Linked DNA regions of Callithrix jacchus. The protein of the gene in region 1 purifies or fractionates together with the protein of each later gene. This does not show direct contact. Links are inferred from orthologs where the notes say so. Each region holds a gene or a part of one and is shown on either strand. Other genes may lie near its edges. The genes, in order: TBPL1 and GTF2A1.

Region 1 (3,813 bases):
TAAAGTAGTGATGGTACCACGAAGCAGAATAAAAATAAAGCAGGGTTAGGAATTAGAAGGTGATGAAGGGGTGGGTGTTTCCGGGAAATGGTAAAGGAGGGCCTCTCTTCAGGAGGGGACCTCTGATAAGAGACCTGAATGAAGTGAGAATATTGAGGGGAGAATATTCCAAATGAAAGCAACAGCTACTGCAAAGCTTCTGAGGCATGAACAGATTTGGTGTGTGTGAGGAGCCATGTAAGTTCCAGTTATGTGACTGGAGTGGAATGAGAGTTGAAATGTTTATGTACTTGGAGTATATTTATTTCAAGTATATAGAGTGAGAGGTTTCTATCCACCTTGTATTTTTAATTAATCAAATGTCTTTTTGGATTAATATGTTCTTTGTGTTTAGCATTGTACTTGATTTCAGAATGGGTGATTTGGAGAGCAGTTATTGCAGTCTTGGTTAAGCTTGGAGTAGTACTTGGACATTAATATGGCTGTATACAACAGAACCATATGTGAAAAGTAATGCTTATGAGGTAATCAGATTTTTTTCCCCCCCAGAAAGTATTAATGAAGCTTAGAAAACCTAGAATTACAGCTACAATTTGGTCCTCAGGAAAAATTATTTGCACTGGAGCAACAAGGTAAATGCTACTTGAATTTTTTATTTTTATTTTTTACTTTTATCCTCAAGGAAAGGACATTGTCCTAGATTTAACAGCAAAATTATATGTAAAGCTTGCTGTGTTCCTCGGGGTAAAAATTTATTTCCTGTGTGACTGATCATCTTTTCCTTTCCTTAAAACCATAGTGAAGAAGAAGCTAAATTTGGTGCCAGACGTTTAGCCCGCAGTCTGCAGAAACTCGGTTTTCAGGTAACATTTTCAAACACTATCTAAACTACAAATATTGAAGGATTTATTGTTGTAGAATTAAAAATTGTAATAGACTCAAGAAATCACTATACATACTATTCTCGTGATTGAACTTTTTCTAGGTTTTTAATACTGCCCTTCAGCGTGAAAATTAGTAGCAAAATTTGGCCATGTGGGTATTTGTAAAGGATCCTAGCTTTTTCCCTAATTCCTTTCCCATAAAGGGACTTGTTTCCTCACAGGTTAATTTCCTTTTCAACTCTTTTTAAGTTTTTTCACTTCTGACATACACATACAAAATCATTTTTGGTCATCTCAAGAATGCCAGGTCAGGATGGTAAATAGAGAACTGCAGAGGCCTGTTGACATGGGCACACCAGCTGGCAGGCTCTCACACTTGTAACGTGACTGTCACCGGCATGTCAGCCTTATCAGTGTAATTTGATATCGGTATACCTTTGAATAAAATAATTATGTATTATGGACTTGCTAGATCACTTGCAAATAATAGAGAAGTGAAAGATAAAAATGAGATATGCTCCCTCAGGGTGAAGGCAAGGCTGTTTGGGATCGAGACAAATTTGTAGAAGTGGGGATGGAAAGTTGCGTTTCCCTCTGATGACTCAGTCTACTCAGTCCTTCTGAAGTAGACGGTGATAGGAAAAGACTGAATGGCTAGTGGGAGAAGGGGTTCATGCTTGAGGAGGGAGGCAGTAGAGAGTCTTGAGTTGTACTGTGATTTGAGAGTGCTGCCACTTTGTGGTTTCCTGGCTTTCTGCAACTGCTGTGTGCAAGACTGAGCTGGAGGATAGTTAGCGCCTCTGAAATTGTGATTTTAGGAGGAATGTTTGAAAAATAACAAGATGAAACAGTTGAAGATGCTGGTAGGAGTGGCCGAAGTTATTACTGTTAAGAGAGCATTATTTTCGGCCTTGGAACTTCTTTTCTTAGCATGACATCAGAAGTGTAGAGAGAAATCCCGATTAGTTAAAAACAATTTTGTCACTCTATCCCCAAATTTCTGTACTAATCTTACAGAAATGCCATTTTACCTAACTGCATATGAGAAAAACATCTGACTTTTGGAGCCCAGTGTACAGTCTGTATTTACTGACATTTTAAAGTGACATCTTTTCCATTTTTGCTCTAGCAGGATGACCTGGCCTTAAATTTTTTCCCTCACTATTCCCTCTTTTCCTAGTAGTTTTAAGTATTTCACTTAAAGTATTTAAAAAAAAATTACACATATGATTAGAAAGACCCATACTGTTTTAATCATGCAAATACCTCAGGTTTTAATTTTTTTAATGATGTTTTTGAGCTTTTTAAAAAACAAAGCTTTCAATGCTACGCAACTTACAGTACTAAACATACACTTAAAATGTTTTTATCTTGTTTGCTCTTGTTTTTAAGGATTGACAATTATTAAGGATTGCCATTATGAGCAGACTTTTTTGTTTGTTTCAGAATAAATTTATTGAGCTTTACTTCTCTCCTAAAGGTAATATTTACAGATTTTAAGGTTGTTAACGTTTTGGCAGTGTGTAACATGCCATTTGAAATCCGTTTGCCAGAATTCACAAAGAACAATAGACCTCATGCCAGGTAAGTCTTTGAAGCAGATTCTCTTGATAAATTACCAAATTTGAAATTACCAGTCAGGCTATAAACACTTATATTAATTGTGGCTTTTTTTGTGTAGTTATGAACCTGAACTTCATCCTGCTGTGTGCTATCGGATAAAGTCTCTAAGAGCTACATTACAGATTTTTTCGACAGGAAGTATCACAGTAACAGGTATTCTATTATATCGTTACCAAACTTGTCAATTATGGATTGAGTGATACAGGATGCTCATACCAACATAGAAATAATGTCTGATTTGTTCCTATCTGTCACTTCTGCCCTTTAGGAGGCAGTCTCCTGACTTTTAGCACTGTAGATGTGTTTTACCTATTTTTGTACTATCTACAAATGTTACACATATTATTTTGTGTCTGTCTTCTTTCACTCAGCATTATCTTAGTGAGATTTATCTGCATTATGTTCTGTATAATTGTATGTAGATCATTCATTCTTATGTATGGACATTTGAATAGTTTCCAGTGTGGAGCTTTAAAAATATTCTGGTGTGTGTATCCATAGTATGATATATTTTTTTTAATTTATGATATCTTACATTTCAAATACTCATGAGAAACTGATTTTATAAATTTCACAGAGGTTTTACATAAGCAAAATATTAAATATAATTGGTACCTGTTTATTATGTTTATCTTGCTGTATCTTTTGAATCTTTATTTGGAGAAGGGGTAGTTTCAGAAGACTAGGCATTCATGTCAAAGGGTAGCATTAGCATGTTGTGTGACTTTTTAATGGTACTATAATGATTATAAAGTGTACAGAGGCATTGCTTGAGAGTCAGGCCCAACCTTAGGTAAAAATGAATTAAGATTTCTTTAGTGTCCTTGAGCTTTGTTTTTTCTTTCTTCAGTCCTTAGAGGAAAATAACAATTTAATCTCTCAACAAATAAACTTTAGTTTTAACTCATCCCATGGGTTTTTCCATTTTCCTTGGGAACTTTCAAAGCGGATTCCAAGATCCCACCTGAATCTTAAATATGGGACAGCAGGGGACACGTCTGTTTCTTCCCTTCTTTCTGCTCTCTGTTTCTACACTTTGGAACCTGGACATCTGAGAAGCTCCAAAGTCTATTAGTAAATCTCTGCTAAGTATACAATAAAACAATGCATATGCAAAACTGTTTACTGAGTTACTAGATATTAAAACGATAACAAACTGAAGACAATTGACCTGGTTAAGTGGTATGCATTATTTACTTACACCAGGAATATCCTGTGAAACGTTAGTAATACTGAATTGGTTCCCGTGAGCAAAGCATAGCAGCGTGGGGGTAAAATGAGTCAGGAAGGACCTGACCAAGACAGG
Region 2 (4,530 bases), on another chromosome or scaffold:
TGTTGATTGAATCACAATTTTACATTGCTAAGAACACTGATTTCCTGTGATTTTTTTTCTTTAAGTGTTCCAGACCATGCAGCTGTGCAGGTAACTGGAAGTAATTGTTAAGAGGGGAATGGATTTGGTGTGAAAATAAATCTCAAGGTTCATAGATATTCTCCACACCCATTGATAATCTCCCATTTTCTGCGTATTAAAGGCCCCTGCTTTCTCTAATCCCTTTCTTCAGGTGTTGGCAGGCTGCATTTTTTTTTTTTTTTTCTCTTTGGTAAGATGCCTTTGACATTCTTCAAATCTGGTTTCACCAGCAAAGAACTTTTCGTTTTGCTCTGTCTTTGGAAGACAAACTCCTTCACTCATCCAGATGACATTTCAGGTCCCTCAAAATTCCAGGGGCTCCGTTCTGCTTGTAATGTTGATATAAAGGCAGGATTTGTTTGGACAGAGGAGGTCAAAAGCTTATTGGATTGCACTTCAAGACACGGGCACAGCCGCCGTGCTCTCTTATAACTAGAGGCCAAGCGATTTGGGTCAAGGGCATGTGTTTCAATGTGATCAGTCACTACACGTTGGCCATGCGGAGTAGTGGGATTTTGGCAGTATTTTTTAAAACCAGGGAAAGTTATTGTGCTGTTATAATCCAAAGGCTGGTGGGGTTGTCTCCCCTACTCCCCGCACCGCATTTCCACCACCGTGACAAATTATTTAAAGTACGTGGGCTAGTAGGGAACTAATCTCTGGGTAACCTAAGTAAGCCTGGTCTTCGTAGCGGACCCAGTGTGGAAACAAACCAAGTCAGAGGTTAGTAACTCTGGAATGTGAAAGTGGGCCCCAATCGGCTTTTACTCCCATTGGGAAATTCTACATAATTCTGCCCGCGAAAGACCCACCCTCGGCGAGGAGCGAACGCTCCGAGGCTCACAGTCAAAGCCTCGCTGACAAATCAAGAGATGACTCCGCATTTAAAACCGTCCCGAATCGGAACCCGCCAGAGGCCGGAAGCCGCACCACGTGACCAGTTCTCCGCGGCCATTCCTAGCGAGGCAGTCGCTACCGCTTGTCTCATTTCCTAGCTCCTCCAGCGCGGGACCGGGCGGAAACGTGCGACAGGAGGCGGTCCCACCTAGCTTTGGACTGGAATGTCACTAGAACTCGCGCCTTTTCCAGAAACGCTTTGCAAGTACTTCACCGCAAAGAACTGCGGCAGACTTCCGCCTGGGTGCCAACCACGTGATCACGCGAGAGTTGGAGAGGCGTAGGTCCGACTTCACTACTTCACTACCCAAGCTCCGCCAGTCGAGCACCCCCACCGCGCGTGACGACGCGGCTCGCGGCGGCCTCCGCCCCGACGCGCCTGCGCACGCGGCTCTCGCGGTGTCTCGCGCTCAGCCCCGCCCACCTCTGCCCCCGCCCTTTCCACCCCTCCCTCCCCCATCACCCTGTCTCTCAGCGGCGGCGGCGGCGGCGGCGGTTCGCGCAGCTTGTTGGCTCGCTATATAAAGGAGAGAAGCGAGCGGACCGGACGGCTGGAGCTGCAGCCGGTGGCAGCAGCGGCGGCGCAGGGAGCGGTGACCGGTGGTGGTTTCCCTCCTTGGCGCGGGGTGGGGAGCGGGCAACGCCCCCGGACCCCTTAAGGGTCGTGGATTTTTTTTTAAAAAGACGATTCTCGAGGTTTTTAGCTGCGGGAGGAGTGCCCCCCTCCTCCTCCTCCTCCTCCTCTCCGCTCTCCCCTACTCCTTCAGGATTGATTTTGTTTAAGTTTTTTTCCCCAATCTTGCGGTGACTTGGGTCACCCTCGGGTGTTTTAGTATTTTTTTTTTTTGGTTTTGTTTTTATCTTGTTTTCTTGGGGTTGCCCCCTCTTGTTTGTGTTGTGTGTGGAAATGGCGAACTCGGCAAATACAAACACCGTGGTAAGGACGTGGTTCGGTGGCCGGCGGGGGCTTCGTTCAGGCGGCAGCAACGGCCGGACCGGGCGGGGGCGGGGACGGCGGCGACTCCCGGCCTCGACTCTTCAGCCGCCCGCGCGGCCGCCGCCGCTGCCGCCGCCGCTTCCCGCCTCGGGCGGATCGGGCCGGGGCGGCGGGCGGCGGGCGCGGGGGGGCGCCGAGGGCTCGCGGCTCGGGGAGGGCGGGGGCGCCGGCGGGGCCTGGGGCCGCCGCGGGCCGGGTCGGGCCGCGGAGGCGGTTGGGCCCGGGCGGGCGCGCAGCCCCGGCCCCAGAACCCGGCCCCCGGGAGGGAGGGCGTGAGGGGAGCCGCCGCTTCCCCCCGAGGGGCCCGTCCGCGCTGGCTAGACGATGGCTCCCCGAGCGGCTTAAGAACAAAAACCGTGTCTGGGGAATCGGGCGAACCCCTGAGACCCACCGTGATCCACTTTAATGCAGTGGAGGATTAATGGCTACTTTTGGGGGTTACTTAGGTTTTTTCCTGGCAGTTGTGCTTTGGGAACCTTCACTGGGGCCATTTTATGTTTAAAAAAAGGACTAAGGTTGTTTGAAAAGCACTTATCTCAGTTCCTTCCGAATGGGTAAAATGGCGAAGGGGAAGCAACCCCCCCCCCATCGTATCTTCGACTAGCAAAAGCACCAAAACAAACAAAAAAAGCCTACAGTGGTCCAAGTGTCCCTGCTTTCGCCTTGAAATTTGCCTACTTCTTCCCGTTGGTCCCTTTTTGGTTATTTGCGATCACGTAGGTTTGCAAAAAGCAGTCACATAAATAACCTTTTCAGTCACCAACGCAATGTGATCACTAGTCCCCCCAACTCTTATTTTTATATGACAATAAAACACGTTTTTGCCCGGTCCCAAATGCCGCAGACTAGCCCGCGGCCGCCCGACACCGTACCGTTGGCGACTCGGGTCGATCCATCATGGCTGCGGCCGCTTACCCTGCTTTTCAGTCCCTGAGCTTTGTGGTCCTCCTCCCTTTGGCTGCCCTGTTTATATAGAGCCATTGCCGCTCTCTAATATAGACTCTGCCAGGATGGGTAGGTGCTTTTCAGGCCTACGTCACCGCCTCTCCATTTAAACACCAGATCCGGCTTTAAATAGTGAGAGCTGCTGAGAGCGGGGCTGGGAGGTGCGTGCTCCCGAGGCGAGAGCCAGGCGCGTGCGGAGCTCAGTTTATTTGTAGGTCCTTTTTTCACGCTGTAATTTCGCGCCTGTCGGGGGCTGCTTTCAGAGCCCCAAGTTTTTGTTTTGTTCCTAGCAGCAGCTAGGAATTACCTTCTTTTGTTTGTTAGGGGAAATATATCCGAATCGCTGTCCGTTTTTATTTACAATTTTCAAAATATGAAAACAAAGAATTTTTGATCAGATAGTCTAGTGATTTTCCTGTGTGCATTATTTTCAGGAATTAAAAAAACTGCTTTCTACAAAGTGTTAGCTGCAGAGGACTTGGTTTTTGTTGTATTTTGTTCAAATATTCAGGAAACAGGTTAGAAATACAGCTCCTAATATTTCATTATGTTTTTCTATAGTAAATCTAAAAGACACGAGGCCTTTCAGAGAAATAGATAAGTGCCTGAAGCTTCAGAATAGGACCATTTATGTGTAGGGGAATCGTGAGTAATTAGAGGGAAGAGACTTAGTGCAAACTGGATTTTAAAAAACTGTTAAGTAGAACTTTATCGCCTTGGATATTATTAACACAGTATCCAGTATAAAAATTATTTCAATTTATTTTTCAGCATTGCATCAGGGAATTAACATTTTTGAAGGAAACCTCCTAAGAAATCACTTAATAATGCCACTAGTGGCCCTCTGATAAACCAGTTTTCAAGTTTGAAATACCTGTCTTTTTAAAAATCAGGACAAACCTAAACTATTTCGTGAGAAACGGAAACTTTGACTCAATAGAGTGAAGAATTTTAGGTACTAGTTTATAAATTGCTTATTTCAAATAATGCCTATGTGCCCACATAGTTTTCAAAAATTCGTGTCTTGAGTGCTTTTCAAATTGTGAACAATTCTAAATTATTCATTGGGCATATACTTTGTGAAGCATACACGTTTCCCTTCTTTAAACTATAGTGCTTATGAAGCTGTTAAGTGATCAAGTTGTGAGTTCATTAAGGCACAAAAATAAAATCTTAAAGAATGATTCATTAAGTAGAGGAGTACCAGAAGAAAGCAAATTTATACCTATATATCTCTGGATCTCCAAGCAAAAGGTTTTTAGAGGTAACTGATTTGAGGAACACCACACCATCTAGTTTACTGAAAAGCATTATGTATTGTCAATTTGAGATTTATGCTCCCAATTTAAAATACATTGCCCTTCTAATGCCTTGAGGAGTCATTATTGATTAAAAAACAAAACACTATAGAGATACTTTTGTAATTCAGCAGTTAAATTAATTTAGTTAAGATGATGTCCATAGTCACATATACTTTCCTTATATGTAGAAACAGAATGAATGTTAAAGCAGGGACGATAGAAATGTTCATTTTGCAGATGAGTAATTTAAGCTTCAAGAGGCAGATTGGGCGAAATAAAGAGGTTAGTGAGTGAGTGGAACAGTAAAGC

What was found.
Region 2: the proteins of TBPL1 (region 1) and GTF2A1 purify together in Homo sapiens (affinity purification with mass spectrometry; 5 studies listed by BioGRID and IntAct, counting the BioPlex papers as one, with this or other methods). This does not show direct contact. The link is inferred for Callithrix jacchus from reciprocal best matches to the Homo sapiens genes TBPL1 and GTF2A1.

Annotation. Positions count from the first base shown.
Region 1 is NC_133505.1:140,665,046-140,668,858, forward strand, and holds part of TBPL1 (TATA box-binding protein-like 1), read left to right. Parts: intron 1-549; coding exon 550-632; intron 633-799; coding exon 800-863; intron 864-2,364; coding exon 2,365-2,468; intron 2,469-2,565; coding exon 2,566-2,660; intron 2,661-3,813. UniProt on the Homo sapiens protein: Part of a specialized transcription system that mediates the transcription of most ribosomal proteins through the 5'-TCT-3' motif which is a core promoter element at these genes. Seems to also mediate the transcription of NF1. Does not bind the TATA box.
Region 2 is NC_133509.1:116,181,985-116,186,514, reverse strand, and holds the start of GTF2A1 (transcription initiation factor IIA subunit 1), read left to right. Parts: upstream 1-1,444; 5' UTR 1,445-1,885; coding exon 1,886-1,915; intron 1,916-2,847; exon of another isoform or gene 2,848-2,921; intron 2,922-3,691; exon of another isoform or gene 3,692-3,875; intron 3,876-4,530. UniProt on the Homo sapiens protein: TFIIA is a component of the transcription machinery of RNA polymerase II and plays an important role in transcriptional activation. TFIIA in a complex with TBP mediates transcriptional activity.